2 linked regions of the Kluyveromyces lactis genome follow. Each later gene encodes a partner of the first gene's protein in a complex. Links are inferred from orthologs where the notes say so. Each region holds a gene or a part of one and is shown in the gene's direction. Other genes may lie near its edges. The genes, in order: RPC53 and RPB10.

The links.
Region 2: RPC53 (region 1) and RPB10 share a complex: the UniProt entries of both Saccharomyces cerevisiae proteins name them as parts of the RNA polymerase III (Pol III) complex. The link is inferred for Kluyveromyces lactis from reciprocal best matches to the Saccharomyces cerevisiae genes RPC53 and RPB10.

The regions. Positions count from the first base shown.
Region 1 is NC_006039.1:1,427,890-1,440,916, reverse strand, and holds RPC53 (DNA-directed RNA polymerase III subunit C53), read left to right. Parts: upstream 1-6,255; coding exon 6,256-7,470; downstream 7,471-13,027. Other genes in the region: KLLA0_C16445g (cyclin family protein), read left to right, coding at 1-942; MutS family protein MSH5, read left to right, coding at 1,112-3,916; rRNA-processing protein SAS10, read right to left, coding at 4,014-5,852; autophagy protein ATG9, read left to right, coding at 7,885-10,611; snoRNA-binding rRNA-processing protein NOP14, read right to left, coding at 10,653-13,027. UniProt on the Saccharomyces cerevisiae protein: DNA-dependent RNA polymerase catalyzes the transcription of DNA into RNA using the four ribonucleoside triphosphates as substrates. Specific peripheric component of RNA polymerase III which synthesizes small RNAs, such as 5S rRNA and tRNAs.
Region 2 is NC_006040.1:569,349-581,520, forward strand, and holds RPB10 (DNA-directed RNA polymerase core subunit RPB10), read left to right. Parts: upstream 1-7,985; coding exon 7,986-8,198; downstream 8,199-12,172. Other genes in the region: karyopherin KAP120, read right to left, coding at 1-2,262; NPT1 (nicotinate phosphoribosyltransferase), read right to left, coding at 2,871-4,154; NAN1 (Nan1p), read right to left, coding at 4,941-7,496; dynamin-related GTPase MGM1, read right to left, coding at 8,724-11,375. UniProt on the Saccharomyces cerevisiae protein: DNA-dependent RNA polymerases catalyze the transcription of DNA into RNA using the four ribonucleoside triphosphates as substrates.

The DNA.
Region 1 (13,027 bases):
ATAAGTGAGGAAATGGAAGACGTAGATGAAAGTTTTACGCCGTTAGTGCCGGTGGTAACGGAACATTCAGAGAGGTTATATCAATATGTGTATGAGAGGTTACACCGTGAGGAGCCTGACCCTAACGATGAGGACACATGGGACCCTGTTATGGTATCGGAATATACCATTGAAATTTTTGAACATTTGAAGTTTTTGGAGAGGAAATTTTCGCCGAATCCCAGGTATATCGAACATCAACCGGAACTAACGTGGAAATACAGATCAACGTTGATCGATTGGATTGTTCAAGTCCACGATAGGTTCCAGTTGTTACCTGAGACGTTATTTTTAACGGTAAACATTATCGATAGGTTTTTATCAAAGAAACAAGTCACTTTGAACAGGTTGCAATTAGTCGGTGCAGCAGCTCTATTCATTGCTTCCAAATACGAGGAGATCAACTGTCCAACTTTGAAAGATATGCTGTATATGCTGGACAATGCATACACTAGAGAAGAGATTCTAAGGGCAGAAAGATTCATGATCAATACGTTAAATTTCGAATTTGGATGGCCAGGTCCAATGTCATTTTTAAGAAGAGTTAGTAAAGCGGATGATTATGAATACGATACAAGAACCGTGGCTAAATATTTATTGGAAACTTCCATAATGGAGCCAGAAATAATAGCAGCGCCACCATCTTGGCTTGCTGCAGGTGCATATTACTTGAGTAAAATCATTATCGGACTCACAGGTTGGTCTGACGAACACATATATTATTCCGGTTACACAGAAGAGCAATTAATACCGTTGGCAACAATGATTTTGGATTCATGCAGACATGCAACAGAACGTCACAAAGCAATATTCGATAAGTACTCGAGGAGTCGCCATAGGAAATCTGCTTTTGTAGTAGCGAAGTGGATTTCAATGGCCGAGAGTCGGTTGGAACAGAAATAAATTCGACAAAAAGAGAGCGGCTAATCATTACTCATACGCCTTCCCGACACATCTAGATAGTACTTAACTCAAAGAAAGCAAAGAAAAAGTGTCAATTCACTTCTTTATCTAATGTTATATTTCGTTTAAATTTCATTTCCAGCACAAATTTACTTTAAAAGTGAAAAGAATGAGATTATTCAGTTTTACTTTCAAAACTAAACTGCACTGTTTATTGACAGAGCGAAGAAAACGAAGGGAAGAAACGGTACAGGCAATTATTCAAGACCAATCACCATCAACAATGCCAGTCACGGCTAAACGTCCGTTATTTATTGATCGGTCGGTCGATTCTGAACTAATTCCAGGTATTGGGAATATACAGGATAGCAATGCTACCGAAATACCCGCCGAAGGTGAAAACAGAAATGTATTGGAAAAATATGCAGATGAAACCATGCATGAGCAAAGCATTAATTGGGAAAATGAAGTAGTATTCTGCTTGGAACTACAGCAGTCCAAGCTTGGAATATCTCTATTGGACATAAATCAAGAGACTTTATCGGTTCTAAATCAGGACATTATTGTTAATGCCAGAAGTTCAGAAAATATGAATGAAGTGAACTTGATTCTAGAAAATTTGATACTTGAAAATGAACCTAGCGTAGTGTTGTGTTCAAGCAGGTTAGGGGAAGTGATTTATGAAAACCTCAAATTTTTGTCAATCGAGCGCAGTTTTAGATTGCAGATGCAGTCCCATGACAAATTTAAAGTAGAATATTTTGTTCAACATTGGAACAACTTTCAAGAGTCCCAACAATTGATAGATATTCAAGGATTTCAGATCTTGGACCAATTGGGTACAAACAAAGCCGCTAAAGTGACAACCATGTCATTGAGCTGCTTGATAAAATCTATGGATCATTTCTCCGCCGTTGATTTTGACGAATGTGAGATGTTTAATTTTTTCGAAAAGGTCAATATAGTGAGACAATTAATGTTGAAGGATCGGCTCTTTCTTGATGATGATACTCTGGCGGCTTTACATATTTTTAAACCCATCCAGATACCAGGACATTTTTGTGAAATAACAAAAACCGGCTATTCATCTGTGTTTGATTTGCTCAATCACACTACTTCAGAACTTGGTAAAAGATTGCTAAAATCCTGGTTAGCCAGTCCACTATCTAATAAAATATTAATAGAAGAGAGACAAAAGGTGATACGATCTCTAATTGACGGCAAGAATGCGATATTATTCGACGATCTTTCAAATTCTCTAAAGTACATGCCTAATATATTCAGCATTGTAAATGAAATGAGCAAAGGCGCAGTAAAACTCTCAGTGTGGAGAAAATATATTTCTTTCTGTACCAAAACTGTCGAGATCATAAACTTAATCCATATTCTCTACGATTCTTCAGATAATTGCCGGTTATTTAACACCATAAAAAATGACCTTGATAAAAGCATGATGTTGAAGATATTAAAGAAAACCGAAAGTGTTCTTGATTTGGAGGGGTCCCTTAACCAAGATGCGATTGTTATAAAGGATAAAGTTCGTATAGAACTAGATGAGGCAAGAGGAACTTACTTCGAGCTTGAAGGTGTTTTAAATCTTGTGGCAAATGAGGCAAACAATACACTAATATCAACATTGCAGAGTAATGAGGAGAAGCTTTTTAAAAAATTGAACGGACGAAATGCTTTGATAAATGCGATATATCTACCACAACTTGGTTATTTACTATGTGTTGATGCATCCATAGAAGATATGTTCGATCCAGCTGTGCTATACTGGACTGAAATTTTCAGAGAACAGAATGTAATATATTACAAGAATGATGATACGAAAGTTATGGACGAACACTATGGTGACCTTCATGGAATAATATCCGATTTAGAGTTGGAGATCCTACTTGAACTACAAAATGCAGTCTTGAATACAAAGCCAGCAATTTTGCTGTCAGGAAAATGTTTCGCAGAGCTCGAGGTTTTAGTCTCATTTGCTAAGACCGCCATTAGCCAAAATTATGTCCAGCCTGTCATTGAGGAAAAGGAATGTGTAATTGAAATTGAAAACGGCCGGCACCCCTTATATGAAACACTTGTAGACACATACATCCCCAATGACCTTCGCATGCTTGGCGGAACTTTTGATAATGATACTTGGAATAATAATTTCAAAAGAATTTCTGTCATTACTGGCGCTAATGCGTCTGGTAAATCTGTTTTTTTAACGCAGAACGGACTTATAGTGTTTCTTGCTCATATTGGTTGTTTCGTTCCTGCTGATAATGCACGTATTGGTCTCGTGGACAAAATATTGACCAGAGTAGTGACTCGGGAATCTGTAGCAAAGACGCAGAGTACATTTGAGATTGATGCAAATCAAATGTCCAAGTGTTTGTCATTGGCAACGCCGAGAAGCTTACTTTTGATTGATGAGTTTGGTAAAGGGACAGATGTGATTGACGGCCTATCTATGTTCGGAGCAATTATAAAGGACTTTTCAAGGAGCTCGTCTTGCCCTAGAGTGATCGCATCTACTCATTATAACGAAGTTTTCAGTCCAAACATCCTTACTAGTGAAATTAATGGTGTAGTATTCTATAAAACCGAGATTTTATTGCAGGTGATGGAAAAGGAAAATAAAGGAAATGCCAGAGATGAAATGATTACCTTTTTGTACAAATTGAGCACCGGAATTGCCACGAACTCTTTTGGTATATTCTGTGCCAAAAACTGTGGCTTAAGGCAGAGCATTGTCCAAAGAGCACAAGAACTTACAACTCAGATAGCAGATGGATTTGACATTGCTAAGAACTACAGCAAACTAACTATCGAAGAATTGAACCAATTTAGAATTGACCAGGATATTGCGAAAGAGTTTGTAGCATGGGATCTTGATCTTGAGTCCATCCATTCTGACAAGATACAGCATGCAATACGGAGAAAACTACAAAGAATATTGGATGCTGGACAAAGCTGCTAATTCGTGAGTACTCAGAAAGCAAAATATTACACGAATGAATAATGCGAGTTTTTTTTTAATGCATGGAGTATATAGATACACTAAATATCATCTAGTACTAATTTTTAAATTTCACAGACTTCGTTAGATTCTTCTTAATACCAGTCTTTTCACCTTCATACGCACCAGATTGACCACCAGAGTAGACAGCACGCACAGATTTGAGCTTCTTTTGAGCTTTTTCGTACTTCTTTCTCTTTTTGACACGCGAATTTCTGTTGTCCTTCTTCCTTCTTGGTGTTAGACCCTTATTCTTTAGAATTTGATAGTTGATTGCACGTTTACCATCTTCTGTAATGTGTTCGGCCAATTCAGCCAATTTTCCTTCCTTAGCAGCTTTCGCCACCTCTTTGTGTGCTTGAAGACGGGAATCTTTCTTGTGTTGTCTATCAGCCCTGATGCTCTTGTAATATTCATTCTCGGCATCACGTTTAATGTCTTTGGCAGTCTTTTCATCATCCGAGTTGATATCATCCGTATTAAGATCTGCCGCATTTTTATCATGCAAGCCACGTTTTCTAGCTTCTTCAAGTAGCCTCTGTTGTCTTTCGTAAAGTCTTTCTTTGTAGGGAATATCGTCATCACCTTTGAATCTATCAGTCTTCTTACTAGCCTTTTGATCGATTTTGGAAGTGTAGAAACGTAACGTCTTCTTCCTTGTTTTCTTTTCTTGGACATCAACATCTGCAATCTCATCTTCAACAAAGTCATCAACGTCTTGTAATATCCTGTCTTTCTGAACTTTGTTTGCAGCTCTGTTCGAAAGTTCGATATCAAAGTTTTCTTCTTCTTCGCTTTCCATATCACCCTCCTCGTCCTCATTCTCATCTTCTGCCTCATCGTCACTGGCACTTGCTTCACTGTCCAGTTCATCCTGTTCTTGTAATAGTTCTTCATCAAGTTCACCAATATCCGAAATATTTTCTTCAGCGTCAGAGTCTTGCTCAAAGCGTATTGCTTCTGTGTCCGGTAGTTCGCTAGCTTGTCTCCAAATTTCTTTACACTCCAAAATACGCTCCATTACCGGATGATCTTTCATAGAAATGAAATCTTCGTTATTCTGTAATTCATATAAGAAAACTGCAAAATATGAACTAATTGTTCCAAGATATGAAGATAATGCCATAATTTTGATCTGAATCAATTCATTATTCTCCTCAGTTTGTTTGAGTTTCAGCTCGTCTAAAACGGGTGATAATTTACTGAATTCCTTTGATAAAGGAAGGTATTCTGGGAAGGATGTCTTCAAGAAACCTTCCTTTCTCTCTAAGTCCATGTTGAGAACATCCCTAAGGGAGATTTCAGTAGGACGTTCTTGATCCTTTTGATCTTTAAATTGACCTAAATCGAATTCCTTAGCTTCTTTTACCCATTCTTCATCAACTTCATCCTCAAGATAGTCTTCCATATGAAGGTCTTCCAAATGTTTCTTCTGTTGGCGCAAAGCTTCCTTTTCTATCTCTCTTGCAGTCTCTTCATCGTCCAAGTCATCGGCACCGTAGTATTCTGCCTTAGAAGCACCCCATGCGTTCTCATTGTCCAGCATAGTACCACTCTCTTCTTCTGCATTCTCACCAACGTCTAATTTCCTACCAAAAACCTTCTTATACACAGCTTCACCTGTTAATTCTTCTTGTTCACTTTCATCATCTTCAACTTCTTCACTTTCATCCTCACTATCTTCATCTGACATTCCCATCACTTCTTCTTCTTCATCCACTGAAAGATCAAAATCATCTTCTGGTTCCCTTTGATCAAGACCTGCGTCCTCAAGTAGCACTTTTTCTCTCTTGTTTGCAAAGTCATCGACCTCATTCATGCCATAGGCAACATCTTCTTCCTGGTCTTGTCTACGATTAGACCCTCTTTTTGAGACCTTTGCACCTCTCTTTGCCATATTTGAAGTACAATGTCCAGTACAATTTAAGTCCAACTCAATATACAGTCGATTACAGCGGCTGATAGTAGTTACCTGTTATGCAGCTTGTCATTCTCTTAGTTATACCTATTCTCTGAATTGAGATGAGATGAGATGAGCTTTAACTTTAAACAAAATTTTCCAACATTGCTTTTTCAAGATTTTTCACCAAAATTGAAAGCTGCACTACTACTGGAAGAGATCACAATGAGATGAGCAAAGTTGATGCGCAAATAGTCAATGCAAGGGTTAGTATCCAGTAACTAGTCTTCGTTTTCATATTAGGATTTGCTGTTGAACGAAGAAACGGTCGAGAATCGCAGTATTAAACGCTTGAGTCAAGAAGTTATTTGCATCAAATTGTGATAGGAATCAACTAAAGATGAGTGGACGTTTACCTGGATTGAACCAGGGGAAACCATCAACCGGAACCTCGCTGAAGTTTAAGCCCAAAGTGGTAGCTCGTAAATCTAAGGAGGAACGAGATGCTAACGTTCTGAAGGTAGAAGAGCCGAATAAACAGGTTGAGAAGAAGAAATATACACAGAAACCACAGGGCAACCAGAAGAGGCAGCCGAAGTATTTAAACAACACAAGAATTATCACATCAGGCCCATTGGCAGCTGGTAATTTCTCTGGAGGATCTAATAAAGGGAATAATGGATTCATTAAGACGGAGGGTTCTCAAAGCAGTCTTGTGCAACGCGGTTTGAAAGCTGTTTCTGATGATGAAGCAGAGGGATCGGACGCAGAAGATTCAAAAGCTGGGAAGAGAATTAACATGGGGAAAGAGTATACAGAGGCAGACTTCAAGAAGGAAACTGACGATCTGTTTGATGAAGATGAGGATTCTAATACTGATGCAGCCATGAGTGAAGAGACCAGAGCCTCTAAACAATTGGCCAATCTTTTCCCTGTCAGGGCAGTTCGTATCAATCACGAAAAGGTGGATTCTCTACAGAAAGTTGTCCAGGAATCCATGTCAACTTTGCAGACCAGGGAACCAACACCAGGACCTGTGAAGCTAGAACCAGAACAATCGGATGGTACTTTAAATGACATAGTGAACGAGAAGGAACAGCAGTTAAAAGAAAAACTGCGTTTGCTTCAACTTCAACAAGATTTCCAATCTGTTGACAGCGCAGAAGCTCTCAGGGAAACAAATTTGTTATTTGAGGATCATAAACATATGTACAAAAAGTTAAACAAGATTAACGACGTTCCAAATAAGTTTATGTTCTTCCAGTTCCCATCAAATCTACCTGAATTTCAGCCACAACCCCCAGTGAAATCCACCGAAGAAGATGTAAAGCCAAATGGTGAAGCAAAAGTAGATGAAGGAAGTGAACAATCAAATAGTAAAAACAGCAAAGAAACACAAATAGATTCACCTGAGCCTTTGATCGGAAACGTTGGTTCAATTAGAATGCATCGATCCGGCAAAATGTCAATCAAGATCGGGGACGTCGTAATGGATATCAGCAGGGGCGCAGAGTCTACATTTTTGCAAGACGTGGTTACACTAGATTTGGAGGGAGAAGAAGCGGAGCTACTAGGCCAAATCGACGGAAGAGCGATTGTAACACCACATATCTAATTATATAGATTTCTGCATGTACATGATAGTTGAAGAAAAAGCTCAGCAAATCAATTCGTATGATAACATTAATTTAATGTAGACAACTACATCAAGAATGGGAGATTCAAATACCACTGCGAACACAATCAGCAGCTACTGCATAGTAACCTAATAAAGATGCATCGCCTTTTCAGGTTATAATTCCTGAAATCAGAATAGTCATTAAGTACGAGTTGATGTTTGGATATGCAGGGCTCCATTACAAAACTTGTTCATGTATACAAGGATTCCCTTAAAAATGACTTCAACAAACACAAAACAAGGTATAATCGAAAGGACACTACAACCATAACCTTACCTCTCACGGTATTTAGTCAGTTGATTGAATCAACTTGAAAAGTTTGGATCAATAAAATTTTGGAAGTCTGAGTTATGACGGATAGTCAGGATAAAGTAAATGGTGGATCCAAGAACACATTTCTATCAAGAGTGTTTGGTGTGCACTCATCTGCTGTAGAAAACTCTTTGGATGCCGCTGAGATGAGCCATATTACTATGCCTACGGAACAGGATTTTAGTAACTATGCCGAGGATGAAGGTAATGTGAGGCTAATAGAATCCGATCAGGAACCATCTTCATCTAACGAGGACAGCAATGATGAGGAGCCGCTAATACAACAGCCACAATCCATAAGATTTGATACAGCATCTGATGGGATGGCAACAATACAATCGGAATCAGAGCCCGATGAGGGAGGTACAGAAGAAGATGAAGTGCACTTAGAAGAAGAGGATTTCAGCGATCAAGACTTGGCAAGCTCTGTTTCGAAATACGGACAGCCTTCAAGCAGCGAAGACGAGGAGCCATTATCAAATCGTGACAGTAATAGAGGATCTGACGAAACGATACCTTTCATAGGTAGACAACGACTGAATCTAGGTGGTAAAAACCCCATTACAGGAGCAACTAAGTCAACCAAGAACCCTTCGGAAAGCAGGGTATTCGAAAGATTGTTAGGGAATAGCCCTGCAAAGATGTTTCGCAATAACGGAAGGCCGAATAATCTTGAGGAGAGTTTTCTCTTCCGAAAGCCATCAGTCGCAGAACAATCAGGACCAGGTAAATCAACTCATTTCAATTTGAAACCTCCTCCAATATTTAACAATATTTCTACTTTGACAAGCACTTCAAAGAACAGCTTATCTTCACTTAGTCCAAAGGAACGAGCTTTATGGAAATGGGCAAATATCGAAAATTTAGACACTTTTTTGCAGCAGGTGTACGAATATTACCTAGGGAACGGATTCTACTGTATCATCACAGAGAAGGTTATTCATCTAGCTACAATCTTGTTTGTGGTATTCATTTCAACTTACATGGGCCATTGCATAGATTATTCAAGGTTGTCATCGTCTCATACTTTTGAAGAAATTCATATTGAACAATGTTATAAGACACAGATCTCTCCAACTGCAAAGGTATTTCTATGGATATTTTACGCCTTCATAGGGCTTAAAGTTCTACAATTGTATTTTGATGTGAAAGCATTGAAGGACATCCGAAACTTTTACAACTACCTTTTAAGCATATCAGATAAAGATTTACAAACTATTCCATGGCAAAGTGTGATTCAACAACTAGTATTACTTAAGGATCAGAATGCGATCACAGCAAATGCTACCGAAGTCAAAGCAAAAAACAGGTTGAGTGCGCATGACGTGGCTAATCGAATTATGCGCAAAGAGAATTTTGTCATTGCACTATATGATAACAATATTCTTGACTTATCCCTACCAGTACCTCTACTAAGAACATGTGCTCTTACCAAGACGCTCGAATGGAACATAAATCTTTGTATTTTAGGTTTTGCATTCAATGAGAAGGGCTATTTAAAGCAAGCTTTCTTAAGAGAAAGCCAGAGAGAATACCTGGGAGAGGAGTTAAAGAAGAGGTTTGTTCTTGCTGGATTCTTGAACATTATCTTATCCCCATTCTTAGTAACATACTTTGTTCTATTGAACTTCTTCAGATATTTTAATGAGTACAAAACCTCCCCAGGATCAATAGGTTCTCGGCAATATACTCCTATTGCTGAATGGAAATTTAGGGAATACAATGAATTATATCATATTTTCCAAAAAAGAATGAGATTGAGCATGATAATAGCGGACAATTATGTCAATCAATTTCCCAATACATTATTAAGCTTGACCTTAAGCTTTATACAGTTTGTTTCCGGTTCTTTTGTGGCAATCTTGGGTATTCTGACAATATTTGATCCAGACAATTTCTTAAACTTCGAAATTACACCTGACAGAACTGTTTTATTTTACATGACTGTTTTTGGTACTTTATGGGCAGTTTGTCACAGTTCTATCAACGATGAGTATACGGTTCTCAAACCAGAGGAAACACTGGAGGAACTTGTGTCGTATACACACTACGCTCCAAAGGAATGGAAGGGGAAATATCATACAGAGGACATCAAAAATGAGTTTTGTAGGCTTTACAACTTGAGAATCACATTATTACTAAGGGAACTAGTCAGCATTATAATCACTCCCTTCATATTATGGTTCTCCCTGCCAAAGAATTCAGAAAGAATAATAGATTTTTTTAGAGAATGTACCGTCTATGAGGAGGGGTTGGGATACGTGTGTAAGTACGCAATGTTTGAAGCTACTAAAATTGACAAAGGTACCAAGGCCAAAAAACAAACTAAGAGAATGTTTTCCCAAGCAGAACAGGATGATAGTGAAACCGAATCGGATGAGGGTGTTAACAAAATGCTTCAGTCATATATGTACTTCGTTGACGATTACAAGAATGCAGGCAATGCAGTGGGCAAAAATCAGCTACCAGCTTCTCCAATCGAGCCATCTTATCACCCATACAGCTCTACTAAAGACTATTCCTGGAAGACACAATTTGCCTTAGGTAAAAACTCCAATCGTAAGAGAAATCTTAATCGATCAAGGGTGAAGAGATTCCCGGATCGTAGTTCGGACCTTGAATTAGGCTCATTGAGTGGTTCACTTATCAACAAATCTACCCTTTTTAAGGATGATATTGCTGATAATGCTGACGAACTGAAGGCGGGAAATGGTGTTATGGGCCTATTAAACCAATATTACAAAAAATCAGATCGCAATCGATGATAAAGTTTATTAATGTTGAGTATAGATTATATAATATGCAGTTAACGTTTGGTATTACGGAGCTTCTTTTCACGCTCATATTTGTTTTTCTCAGCACCTTCTTCAGTACTGATTTGATTGACAATACGTGCCATCTTGGAATGGTAATCGGCGTACTCCTTCTTCTTTTCTTCAATGCCTTGTCTTGCCTCGAATCTAGTGTCTTTACGTATTTCTTTCATAGTGAACTTACGTTCCTTCTTCAATTGCGCCTTCATCTTGTTCAACTCACTTCTGGTCTTATCTGGATCATACGACTTCTTATCTGGGTTGAAGTTCTCTTCGAATTTAGGCGTATTTGATGGAATCGCCAGTGGTTTATGCTGTTGCAACGTCAATGGCAGACGTTCTTGGAATTTCAATAGCTTTTCGATCTTTTCCACTAATTGTTTTGGTTTAGAAGTACCAGGATATACTTCGGCAGCCACGTTTAGTATGTCTTTGAAGGGATTAATGATTTCTGGGAAGGCAGTAAGATCTTTCCAGATGTTCGTTATGCACCAATCAATTGATTCTAGATTGTTGACCAGCACGGACAGTTTGATAGATTCTTGCTTTTCTAGATCCTCGGAAAATAATGAGTGTAATTCTAAAGAAGGGGCGACCTTGGACCAGTTAATATCCGAGCCTACTATTGATAAATTGTCCTCCTGTTTTTCTTTGTTTTCTAATGTTTCCCCTTTGGTACTCGGTATTAGAGAACGCAAAGATGTCTGCAAGAAGTATGTTAACTCAGGAATATAACGCTTGCTTATACGTTGATACTGGATGGCGATTCTAACCAGTATCGAACCAAATATTAATTTTTGAAGAGAATTGAACCTAATTTGTTCCAAAAACTCTGCAATTAGAAGCAGACAGGGAGTAATGACTAAATGATAGTGATCCGAAGTGGAGAACAACATACCAACAACAGAGAAAAATACCAAATCTGATGGAGATAGTCCATAGAACTGGGATTCTTTGAATCTAGTCTGAATATCTGAGATGATATTTCTACAATCCTCTGATAGTGGAATGGTAAACTTTTCTGAAAGAGTCTTTAGAATGCTTACTAGTTCGTTTTGTAATGATGCAATTTCTTTCACATTAACCGAGTAATCTTCTTCAGCCAAGAAAAGTATATGTCTGAGCAAAACAGCAGTGAATTTGCCCAATTTTTCTTTGTTTCCCTCAGCCAATTTTGGTTGGTATGTTTTTACTATTCTTTTAACTAAAGATGGATGCTCTTCGATAGGATAAGATTTCAAGAAATTTAGTAAGTCATCGTGAATTTGAGGACATGGAACAGAAGGTATAACTCTTGCTGAAGGTCTACCATTTGATGTAGCGTCGTATTCATTGTCATCATTGTTATCCTTCTCGAAATCAACGTCGTCATCCGAGTCAGGAATTGCTTTGATATATTCACCATATTCGCCCTCCTCAGAGTCGCTATCTTCCCAAAACTCTTCTCCCAAATCTTCAACACCAGCATCTTTTTGATCTTCAATGTTGAAAATACCGTTCATACGATCAAGCCTTTTCTGCTCCAATTCCTTTTGTTTGTCCTCATATTCTTTCTTAATCTCTTCATCTGTTTTAGTTCTATCTGCAGGGGCAGCTCTTTTCTCCAAGACTAACTCTTTCACCTTGATATCATAATCTGGAGCGATGTCTGTGGAGGTCGAAATCTCAGTTTGAGAAGGTTTAGTCTTTGGTAACGTCCTTAATTCAGACATAATGCTTTCGAAATCGTCATCAAGGCCTTCGATATCTTGGACCAATTTCTCCTGCGCCTTTTGTCTTTCATGTTTGTAAAATTTGGATTTAGCAATGACCTCTTGCATGACTTCTGCCTTAGTCTTCTTTCTTGCTGGCTCTTGCAAAGCGTCATCACCTAACCCTTCATCTCCGTATTGATCCGCCATATTTCTTTTACCAGCTTGTTTCAACCTGAAGTCCTCCGAATCAGAATGCTGTAACCCCAAATCACCTTCATCGAAATCATCTTCCAAGGAAAGAGACTTACCATAATGAGTCAACTTTTCACCGTACACGTTTTCATCCTCACCACCATCGCTATCGTCTAAATTGAATAACGATCTTTTCGTCGAAGATTGACGTTGTCTTTCCTTTGTGAAACGTTCCAACATGATCTCCTCGGAAGTCAAATTCTTATCCTTTTCACCAAAACGTTTATCTAAGACACCACCGCTTCTGTTCTTGCTGGACTTCTTGGCTTCGTAGAACATTTTACGTTGATCTTCACCGGCTTGTTTAGTGATTCCCGGCTTACCTACTGCAAGTTTAGCTGCAGATTCCCTCATCACACCAACCTTTTTATTACGATTTGTTTTCACATCAAACGGATTAAACTGTTCCCTAATTCTTTCAA
Region 2 (12,172 bases), on another chromosome or scaffold:
AGTAAAAGCAGGATAGGAATAAAATTCCTGCGCGGGCAACAAAATGGCGTAACTTTTTAAGATCTCCAAAGAAATAGGCAACAATTCTGTCTGGTTCTCCACGCAATGAAGTAGGAATGGGCTAGCGTTCAAAAATCTCCCATCAAGTGATTTCTCCGTAGGATCGTAATTCTGTAGAAGTGAGTGCCATAGTTCTAAACCATCCTCTAGAAGTAGTGAAGTATGTGGTGAGTTTGGGTTGCAGGCAGCCTCGATTATGGTTAATGAAATGTCCCAGGTTGCGTAAGAATATTTCCCTAAAGAAATCGATAAATACCTCAGCAAGCGAAGTAGAACATTTGCGAGTATTGATTCAGTTGGTTCATTACAAGCAAGCTGCCAAAACTCAGGGACAATCTCAAGTATCTGCATTAGGAACTGTTTATTCACAAGCGGTTTTGTTTGGATAATCAAATCTGTAAGTGTGTTTAATACGTATAATCTAGTCTCTGTTAAGGAAACATCAGGTAAAAGCTGCTGTAAAAAGATTACAACGAAGCTTTCCAAATATGGCTCGAATATGGATTTATTGAAATCCCAGTCATCAATCATTGTTCTAAACGCTTGTACAATTGATAATTGTACGACTTTGTCCGATTCTGTTTTGAACATATGTAAGAAAAATTGGTAACACTGTTGCTTAGAATGATCCGAAGATTTAGTGACCCAGGCATCAATAATCAAAGCAACTCTCCTTCTGATAATTCTCAGTTGATCGGGCGAAGAATTGGATTTTGATGCTTCTGGCAAGAAAACCGTTTCCAAAAGCCTGTTGAAATCCACCATATCAGTGATTGCATGCGAGCTGAGTTGAAAAGCACAAAACAAGGCATCCTTCTTCAAAAAATCATCGATCGAGTCAGATAATTGAGCGGCCTCTGAGTCAATCTTATTTAAAAGATAAGGTGTTAAAAGATTCTGAAAGGAGTCGATTAGGTCTTGGAAAAAATTTTCAGCACAAGGCCTGATTTGATATTCGTAACTAGAACTCATTTGTTCATTTACCCATTCCTCAGGATCCAGAGACCATGCTTCCAAGTCTGCTGGCCGTAATCTCAAATACCAATCAATCAATAAGTCTATTAATTTCTTTACAAGATCTTCGGAGAGGAATTCGGTGGTTAATTTATGAATAGCAGCATCCACTTCAGATTTATCACTTCTAACTTTGATGGTTACAGCACCCTTTTTGGTGATAAAATTAATAACTTTCTTCAATATTGAAAACCCTCTGATTGCAATCGTTTCCCAGAATCCTGTTTGGGACTCTGTGTTTTCATTATAAACATCAGATGCTCTTTCGATTATCAAAGTAGTGAATGTTATGAGAATAGTCTTTGATGATGGCATCATTACAAAGTTTGCCGTAGATGCAGAAATAAGATTGAAATACAATTTGCAGTAACATTTGATAAACTTTTCATACATATCAACTGTCTTAAAATTGTCATAATTCTTCAATAATAATTGGAAATGCTGTTCAGACAGGGAAATGAATTCGACCACAGACTTGTCTTTTTGTGGGGATTCATATCCATCAACTGCAACTCTTCTTAAGACCTTTAGGGCCAGATACGATATTTGCAACTTAGATATATCATCACTCTCTAGAGAGGCAGAATTTGTCCACTTGTTGAAGTAATGCATATAGATCCTGGTTAAAAGTGGAAAAAGTAATGGTATTTTTGATTGCATAGCAGGTCGACATCTCCCAATTCTGGCAACACCTAGTGTCTTTATTATTTGGTTTAAGTGAATCAAAATGTTGTAGACTTTAACATCATCCTTCCATACAGATTCGTCATTTAGAAGTAACTCTACCTGTTCAAATAGATGCGGCCATTCGACAGGGAAATCGATTCGCGCTACTCTAGCAGTAGCCTGTGCATTTTGTATGGCTAATTTATCATTTGGTTCATCTATCATACCGAATAATCTATTACGGATTTGCTGTTTCTCATCCTTAGTAATAGCATTTATTCTTGTTGATCTCCAATACTTGTCTAATCCGTTTTTGAACTGAATAATGGCCAACCATCTTACTTGCAAGGATACTGACAGATCCATATAAATCGATTGTAACAAGTAATGGAAACCTGGCAATATCTCCCAAGATTTAATCTGTTGTTCTGCCTGCCTTTGCACTTCAGACCCAGCATACTGTGGATTCGATGCTTGTTCTAAAACTTGAACAAGGGCAAGTTCTGTTAACTGTGTGGACATATTTGAAATCGTTGTTGAGGGTGCTTATTATCTTAGTGCATATACCTTTTCTAGTGGAAGATACTTGCCGAAATATTTCAAGTGACTTACCTTGTTCCCACCAATAGTGTTACTGAACCCTGAAGTAGGTTTAGAAATTTCAATTTTCAATTGAATAACAAAGGAAAACTCAAGCCAATAATCGAGGTTTTAGTTATGTTCTTGATATGCACGAAACTACGTTCGCTGGCACAAATAGACGCGTCCTACTGGGTATCAATTATACCTGATATGTTACAATGGTTTGATTTTGTTAGTTCATTAGTGCTTTCCCTGTCTAAAATGTTGAAAACCAAAGTGCCAGAGAATTTGGGCAAATAATGACTAAAATCATCACTAACGATATGAAACGAATGAACCAACAACGACACAAATGAAAGGAAGCAGTTACGAAGTACAAGAAGTTTCGACAGGTGTATCAAAGTAATAAAAAAGATTAAATTGTATTACAAATGGATCGTATAGATACCTACAAAAAGCGTTTGTGTTCAATTGAAACACGGTATAGTTAACAAAACCTGGCGTCATATTACAATGAAAAGAATTTCATAAAATCCGGTTTGGTTCAATTAAGCAGCCCATCTATGAGCTTCATTATCACCTGCATACTTTCTCTCAACATAGCCCAATTCTTCCTTCACTCTACGAACTGTCTCTGGGTCACCCATATTTTTACCTAAATTATCGGAAATCTTGATGGCATGGTTCCCATTAACCTCCAGTAGTTTTATGACAATATTCAGCGGTTCACTTTTCACTGAGACATCAGATTTTCTTTGGAAATCGTTGGTGAAATTCGTACCGATACCGAAAGTTGCCTTTAGACCATGTTTATGAGCCACTTGGGCATATTCTATTGCTCGATCTGGGTTAAGAGAGTCTGAATAGCAGATTATCTTTGAGAACTTTGGGAGCTTCAATACGTCATTGTAATGATGAGCGATTTTCTCAGTGTACAAAATTGGGTCTCCAGAGTCCTGTCTCACCCCAATGTATGCATCTGAATAAGGTGGGTAGAACGATTTCAAGAACGAATCGGTACCAAAAGTATCTGTTAGTGCAAGACCCGCATTTTCCATACCAAACGTCTCAATCCAGTAATCCATTGCGTTCTTATTTGCATTCAGATAGTCATTTGTAATGGATGCAATACCCATCATCCACTCATGCGCTACTGTACCGATAGGGTTTACGTTATATTTCTTAGCGAATAACACGTTCGAGGTACCCAATACGTATTTAGACTTATCACAATCCTTAGCGGCATTTATGATACCTTGCATGACAAGATCTTGAGTCTTGAAAGATCTACGACGTCTAGTACCAAACTCACTGAATACGATATCGTGATCCAAAAGCTTTTTGGCCTTGGCATAAGCTTTCTCGACCTGACCATCGTAAGTCCAATCCGTATCCACGAATTTGAAGTACGCTTCTGACACCAACGCAAGCACTGGGATCTCGTACCATATAGTCTTGATCCATAATCCCTCAATGGAGATATCCAACTCGTAATGACCAGGTTCACCCTCAATTTCCCTGGCCTCAAATTTAATTTCATCCTTTGGATTTACTTCGAACCCACCGTTAGATATAAATTCCAAATATTCCGCTGGCAGGTACGGAATAGCCTCCTTGATGTATTTCAGTTCCTCAGTAGTAAGTCTTATATTAGCCAATAATAGGAATTGACCCTTCAACCATTCCACAGCTTCCTTATTGAACGTCATCTGAGGCGATCGGTTGGTATACTTGTACTTGACTTTGACATCCTTAAAATGTGTATAGACAGCGGCATGCATCGTCAATTTGTACATGTCCGTGTCGAGGAATGAAGTTATAACCGGTTCCATTGTGTCTTGGTTTGCTTGTGCTATTATTTTGGATAGATGCCAGACTTTAACATTCTTAAAACCTTTTTACCGCTTCAAAGCATATTATACCTTAATATCTCTTATTTTCTTATTCTGAAAAAATGTCAAGCCATCTTCATATTTATATCAGAAAAAAAAAACAAGTCGTGAAAAAGTGACTTCGGGTGGGAAAAGGAAGACGAAGCTGCTGTTGGAAAAAATGGGAGAAAATATTACCGTTTTGTACGTGCGTTTCTATGTGATTCTGATAAAAATGGATAAAGTGTGATTTAGCATGCACACCGCTCTCTATAAAATGGTGACCAGCAAAAGGATGACATGAGAATTTGCTCAACAAAGTGGATTGGTCTGTGACTCTACTGGGAAGCAACATACAAGTGGATTTGTGAGTCACTGGACTAGTGGTCATGGTATTGGTAGTTTGAAAACAGATATAATATTAATTTTAAAGCGTTGTATAAGACGTATTCTACCGGGAGAAGTGGAGCGATGTCAGTACATCCATGGACTTGGGAATGCGATGGTGGAACTATGTTTCATAACATCTGCCTTAATTTGCTTTGGAGGTGATTTCCTTCTTTTTGATCTCTGTCGCATTAGTTTTTTGTTTTATTTTACAGTTATTAGATTATTTTATTTTCCATATTTAATCTGTCATCGAGTATTTTTTCTGTCAGTGACAGAATAAATAATTAAATGGAGGGTTGTTTAAATATTCTCTGTATTATATACACATACGTATGTTCGAGTCAATGTATAAAACATCTATGTGATAATCTTCATGACGCGGTCAAACAAGGTATTCATTTGAACGTTGTCGATGTTTTCAAACAAACTTGTAAAACTGTTCATGTTAATGGTCTTGTTTTGTGACAAGTTCCCGTTAATGAATTCTAGATCTATGTCTTCATCTACACCATCCTCAGCATCTGTGTTTGCCAAACCTTTCTTTCTCGTAAGCTCTTGTAGTTTTTCGCTGAATGAATCGGGATGTAGAGATTCAAATGCTTGATCATTATTCGATTCGTCCACCATTTCCGAGCTGGTTGTGGTGCTCACGATTCCAAGACGAGACTGGATATCCATGAAAATAAAATCTGCCGCGTAATTCCATACCAACGACGATATGTATTCGTTGTGTTCGAAGCTGCCCAACTTTTCTGTTAGATCGGAATTGAAAATTAAAATGTTGGCTTTATGTTGTAAGGTTGGATTGCCATCAGTTCCTGCTGCTTGTTGGTTAATGGCAAGTGCGATTCTTCCAGTGTTCGCATCGCATGCAAGTAGTCTGGCAAAATGGCCCGGTTTGTAAACTCCGTTCACATAAGGGTAGATATCGAAACTGCTGATGGTGGATTGTGTCAATAAATTGAACGAATGCAAGGAAGTCTTCGTGGAGATTATCAATGTCGAATCGTTGACAAGTGTAAGAGCTTGAATTGGAGTATCCAAAGTGCGTTCGATTGGTAACTCATTTTCATCTTCCAGTAGTTTGAATTCGCTGAATTCAATGGTAGATAGCTTATCTTCAAAAGCGTGGAAGATTAAGGAGCCATCTAAGGACCATGCTAGTTGCACCGAATTCGAAAAATGGTTGTAGTTGGGTAGTAATAATCTGTTCAAACACCAGTTATTCTGTTTCGAATCAAACTTCCAGTATTTTAATCCACCATTGTTATCAGCAGTCAAACAACCCTGGGAAGAATTTATGCTATTTGGAGCTGTAGTTATGTTTGTCACTGGGACGTTGTTACCATGTGGGTTCAACACTTTAGTTTTCAACTCCCATTCTTTGTTGTCATCTAATTTCCAGAATTTTAGAACGTGTGACAACTCCTTAGAAGACAATAAACCCTCAGGTGGGTACTCAACTTCATATGTGATCATCCAAAAACCATCTAGGGTGAATTTCACATCCTGTACAACAGGGTCCTGGATAGTTAACTCAAGTCTAACCTTACCTGCTGCATTGTTGACACTGGATGTAACATACTGGTAGCTCACCTGTTCATTTTTGTATAGATCGTAAGACTGCAAAGATGAAACGTGTGGTAAGTAGAGATGTTTTGTAGATGGATGTACAGACAAAGGTGCGGTGAAATCATGCTTTTTCCTCTTTAGTAATTTTCTCTTTTGCTTTTTCTTCGATTGTAGCATATTGGATGACGACACAGAACTTTTCGAGTTAACTGTAGAAATTGGCTGTTCAACATCGTTTGTAATGGTATCAAATACCGGGAATGGGCCGTTGATGGCAAGTATTGATGATAGATCTGTGGCATTGAGCAATGTAATCTGGTAGTCAGAATTTGTATTATTTTCAGCGAATTGTAACACTAATGAATAGTACTTATCACTTACTGGTAAGCATTCCAGGACGACACCGTTCAATCTTGGCAAAAAGTGTTGCATATTAGTAGCCAACTGCCAAAAACTTAAAACTTTCTCCCAACCACCAGACAGTAAATATGCGTTGTCATTTGTAAATCCTAAGGATAGGACTGAGTCGATATGCCATTTCAATAATCTATGAGACAGATCAGGTAGATTGATCAAATTTATAACACCAGATGCAAATCCAATAGCCAACTGCTGGCCGTCGTTATCTAACGCAAGAGCAGTGACAAAATGGGAATTTATGGTGGTACTAGATGTTGTAGATGGTACTGGGAAGTTCTGAACTGAACTGTTGTCGACCATAGATTTGATCAGCACATGTTTTTTAGTTTCCTGGTTCAAATAAACTAGGGCAAGGTAGTTATTGTTATTAGACCAAGTTGAAAGTAAAACATTCTCAAAAGTTTCAAGGTGTTTAACCTCAGATTCTTCCTCTTTCTCTTCAACGTTTTCATATAGATCATATCTGTAAGAGTTCCCTGTTTTCTGAACTGTAAGTAATTTCTTCCCATCGCCAAGAACTGCAAATAACTCGCCAGTAATATTCAAAGACCAAGTTTTAATCTCCGTGGCTAATTTACCCTTATACTTCAATATAACTACTTTCGCAGTGTTGGTATACACTCTGATCTTATCCATCTCATCGTCAATAATAGGCTCGATATGCACCACCTCTACAGAAGGCTCATCGAGTATCGAAGTCAAAATATCATTATTAGCAAATTTCAATGTCTTAATACATTGTCTAGTATCAATTGAATACACTTTGAACTGATTGTTGAAAGGGACAATGTATGCTGACCCGTCCTGAGTAAGACAACTCACCGATTTTCTAGTCGCGGATCTATTGTGAATCCTAGGAAGAGCGACCTTCCCACCAGAAACAACAGAAAGCTTGTACATTGGTAACGAAGAGTTTGGCATATTTAACGTGGATTCGATAACAGCTGATACTCTTGTTGGTGCCTCTGGCTGATCCTACTCTTGGTATTTTCTTTCTCTGCTTCTCAAAAGACAAGCTCATCATATAACTCATAAGCTCATCGCATCTTTTCAATTATTTGTCTAATGTGGATTCTTTTTTTTCACCGTATGTAGAATTGTAGTTTTGGAAAATTTTATGGTTGAAACCTGTGCAGGACGAGGATTTGAAAAGAAACGATGGTCATCTCTATCGTGAGAAGTGACATATAAGGGCATCTAATGAAAAATTTGGAACCGATGAAAAATTAAAGTATTAAGAATTAAGAAAGCTGGTTGAATATGATGATTTGTGATGCAAATTATATGAGTTTTCAAAAGGTCGAGCAGGTTTTGATCCACTTATTGTGATAGTTTATAAATCTCGGAGGGTTTATTCCAGGTTTCCAGGTTTCTAGGTTTTTTTTCGTTTCGATATACTTTTAAAGAGAGATGATTGTTCCAGTTAGATGTTTTTCCTGTGGGAAAGTTGTCGGTGACAAATGGGAAGCCTATTTGAATATGTTGCAAGAAGAAGAACTAGAAGAAGGTACTGCTTTGACTAGATTGGGGTTGAAGAGATACTGTTGCAGAAGAATGATTCTAACACATGTCGATTTGATTGAAAAGTTCTTGAGATACAATCCTTTGGAAAAAAGAGATTAGGTGGTCTGCTTTTACTATCAATTGCGATACCCCCTTCTACACTAAAATGGTCCATTCTCTTTAATTACGTCTTCACTTTTCTGCCACTGGTTACTACCGCGTTGTTTTCTTGCGTTCTTTGTTTGCATTTTATTACGTTCGACGTATGGACTCCAGAATAGACAAAACCACTGAGTTTCAATTACCATCTGTTTGCTGTAACTTCTGTTCAGCTGCTGAAACGACAAATAAAGAAAGCACAAGAAGCACGCATGCACGCATGCACACAATTCTATTTCATGTACTATTGCATTGTATACTATTCACATCACCTAAATAAAGCATATTCATCTGATTTTATAAATTTGGTATGTTGGGATTTTAAAAAGTTCATTAATTATTTAAAGACGGGAAGCCTTACATAAGATGTTGGCATATTTCCATGTAGAAACATATTAAGATTAAGTTTTGTTTATATACAGTGATCTCGTAAATAGTAGTCATTATAAAGTGTTCCAGAAGCGGTTGTATAGGATACAGTGATCATTATAGGTTTCTTTTCGACAGTCCCTTATAGGATTTTCTGAACATAAGAATAGAATCTATTTTCTCCAAAGCGAGTTCCAATAATTCTTTACGTTTTTGTAATTCAATATGTCTAGCAATTCTGACGTCCTCTTTAGCGAACATCTCGACTTGTTCATCAGATAATAAACTTAGTTTCTTATCCAATTCAATTGGGAAATTGTAAAAGAAGTCACTTAACAACTCAACATTTAGAAATAATACTGCGGTTGATGTTAGTTTATCGCTTACTGCGTTCAAAAATACCTCTGGGCATTTATCTTTCTGAGTCACGGAGAAACATTTGTTCTTCAAGAACTTGAGTCTGAAATTTAATAATGAAGATCTATCTTGTAGGAACATCGCTTCATGGCCCCTTTCAAGCAGTAGGGCAGAGAATCCAAGAGTCTCCTTTCTATTTGGATCCTGTTTCAAGAATTGAATAACTTGATTTAGCTTTCTGTTTCCAACAGCGTTTTTAATCATATTGAATCTATCGTTACATTGGCGTAATTCTTCTTTAATAAGTAGAACCGAGTGTTCTTGAGCCAAGGACCAATCTCTATCTTCCAAATCAATCTCGTATTTGAATGGTTTGATACAGTTTTCAACTTGGTCCGCCGTGGAGTAATATTTGGAATTTAAAACGTTGACAGCAGTGTTTGTAACAAGCTCCTTTATCAAATCATGGTTTCTCAACTGTGACTGATTCAAAATGTTGTTTAATTCTTGAATAATGGCATTCGTAACAAGACTAGTGGACAATCTACCTACACCAATTTTGGTCAAACTAGATTGTGCAAGTTCTAACTTTCTATGCCAATACAATGCAGAGGATTCATCTTCAAGGTCTTGAGATGTTGAAAGCTCTGGTAAGTTCAAATCTTTCCAATATCTGGCAGCAAGTAAGTCCAAAACTTTTTGATCCAAATCGGCTTTGAGAATTGATTTCAGATCGTTTCTACCAAACTTTTCTTGGAATTCTTTGATTGCAACTTTAAGAACGTCGATGTTGTTCAATAAATATGACTTTGGAGTTAGTTGACGATCGTTGAACTCCACCTTGAAAAGATATGCCGCGTCATCTAATTCCTGTTGAATCAAACGGGAAGTAGGTTCAAGAGCATTGCTCATAGAAACCTCTAAGATTTTGATCAATTTCTCTCTTAATTTTTTCGTACTCACTTGGCACGCAGTGAAATCCTTCTTGTGTTCTTTGAAAAATTCGTTCTCAAACTGCTTTGTTTGAGTTATAGCTGTAGTCTCTGTTGGGTCTGTTTTCTTTTTTGAAAACAAATGACTTCCAGAAGATCTGTTGTCGAATAATCTCTGCACTGGAGTCGTACTTGGACTCTTTGTGATGACACCGACATATCCCATTTTTAGAGGGTACTTTCTGTTATTAAGGATAGCTCGAGCAGTCTTAGCATCCACAAGATCCAATTTAGTGACAACACCTATGGTTCTTAGACCTTGAGGATCAGCTACTTTAGATGCACGAAGAGCAGCACTATTTGCAAGATCAACGTCTGCGGCTGAGATAGCCAAAATGATGTTTGGTTCTTCGAGATATTTGTCACATAGCTGACGAATCTTAGATTTAAGTTCTATGGGCTGATCAACAGCTTCCACTTGAATGTAACCAGGTAAATCAACTAAGGACAAATCTGGAACTCTCGAAGATTTGATTGTGAGCTGGATAGGGTCATCTGAGACAGCTTCAGTGCTAGGCACAGCCATGTTCATTTCCGTTAAAATTCTTTTAACTTCTTTGAAATCCTTCAAATTATATATTCTCATAGTGGGGAAATCTGCAGTAACTTCTTGAGATGTTGGAGTGTTCACTAGGGTCAATTCAATTGGTCTTCTAGTAACCATATTAGTACCCTTTGGTAAAAAGTCTTTGCCGACAATGGATTCCAAGACAGATGATTTACCACTTGACTGAGACCCTATGACAACAATAGATGGTAAAGCTAGATTGGCTGAAGTAGAATCCACTTTATTCAAGATTGATCTGATTTCGATCATTTGCTTTGTTAAATTTAACATTTCATCCTGCGTGTTGTCCTCAGCCTCTTCCAAGTCATCATCTTCCTCATCTTCATCGTTTCCATTCTTTTTACGACGTTTTCCATCTGCCGATTCCTCTTCATCGTGCTGATTCTTCAATGTCTTCCCTTCATCATCATTTTCATCATCTGATAATGAAGCCAGGAGAGTAGCTGCTGCAACGGCATCCGACCCGTTATTGTCACCACTGTTTCCTCCATCGTCCGACTGTCCATCTCTCTGAAACCAATCACCCAATTTATCCTTGACATCTCCCGTGAAATCTTTGAATTTGGATAGTTGATCCTGTGTAAATTGTCCGGCTTCGTTCACTTTATAAGCAACGTATGAACCAAACGCAGCGGCACCACCCCCAACGTAAGCCGGAATACGAACCATCTTGCCTATCATACTGGGGAAAAACGATGCGAACCTCTTGTTAGTCAAGGCAAAAGGACCCTTCATATCATTAGTAACATTTGACATTATCGATGGTCTAACCATAAATCGCAACGCACCTGTCCTGGCTGGACCCATCCATAGCTGTCTGAACAGCACCCTGCGGCACTGGTTAGCAAACATATATTTGGATCTTTGTTGAACTCTTGATTGATGTATACAGTGTGTAGTAATACTTCAGAGACGGACAATAAAACGTCAGGGCATCTTCTGGTTTCTTCCCTGTTATATATGCTATTATTTCAATATGTAATAATAAAACCATCTCATCACAGAGAAAAGAGAAGTAGAACATTCTCATTTCCGGGTAACCACCGCTGGATGTTTTTTCTATTTCTAAATCACATGATTAGAATATATGTCTATTTTTCATGTATCATTGAGAGGCAGTCGTTTGTCCGGGTAATATGGTAAAAGATTCCAGTTCAGACCAGGTGCGAAACTTTCAGCATCTCTTAATAAGCCCATAAAAGGGAGCTTTCTTATTGAATGATAAAGCTAACCCCTAAACAGCGAAGACTACACCGTTGTTCAACCTATAGTACACATGCATTAACTAACCATACACAGCACAACACAATTGTAGCACTAAATTATTGCGAAAGCGTCAGAAATAACGTTACAGAAAAAAAGGAAAAAGGAATGCTATCGTTTCCCTCCCCCAGATACTTCTTTTCTCTTTAGACTCTGTGCAGTGCATAGTAGACCCAAAAATTCGCGTCTTATTTTTTGATCGGTAGTTTTTTACACATCCCACAGATAGACAATAAAAAAGAGTCGAAAAATCAAAACAAAACAAAACACGAACTGAATGGAAATATAAAAAAAACAAACAAAAAAGCCTTAGAGATACATTCCATGTTATTTACAACAACAACAGTTAAGAAGTTTTAAAGAGAAAGAGAGAGCTATATATCATC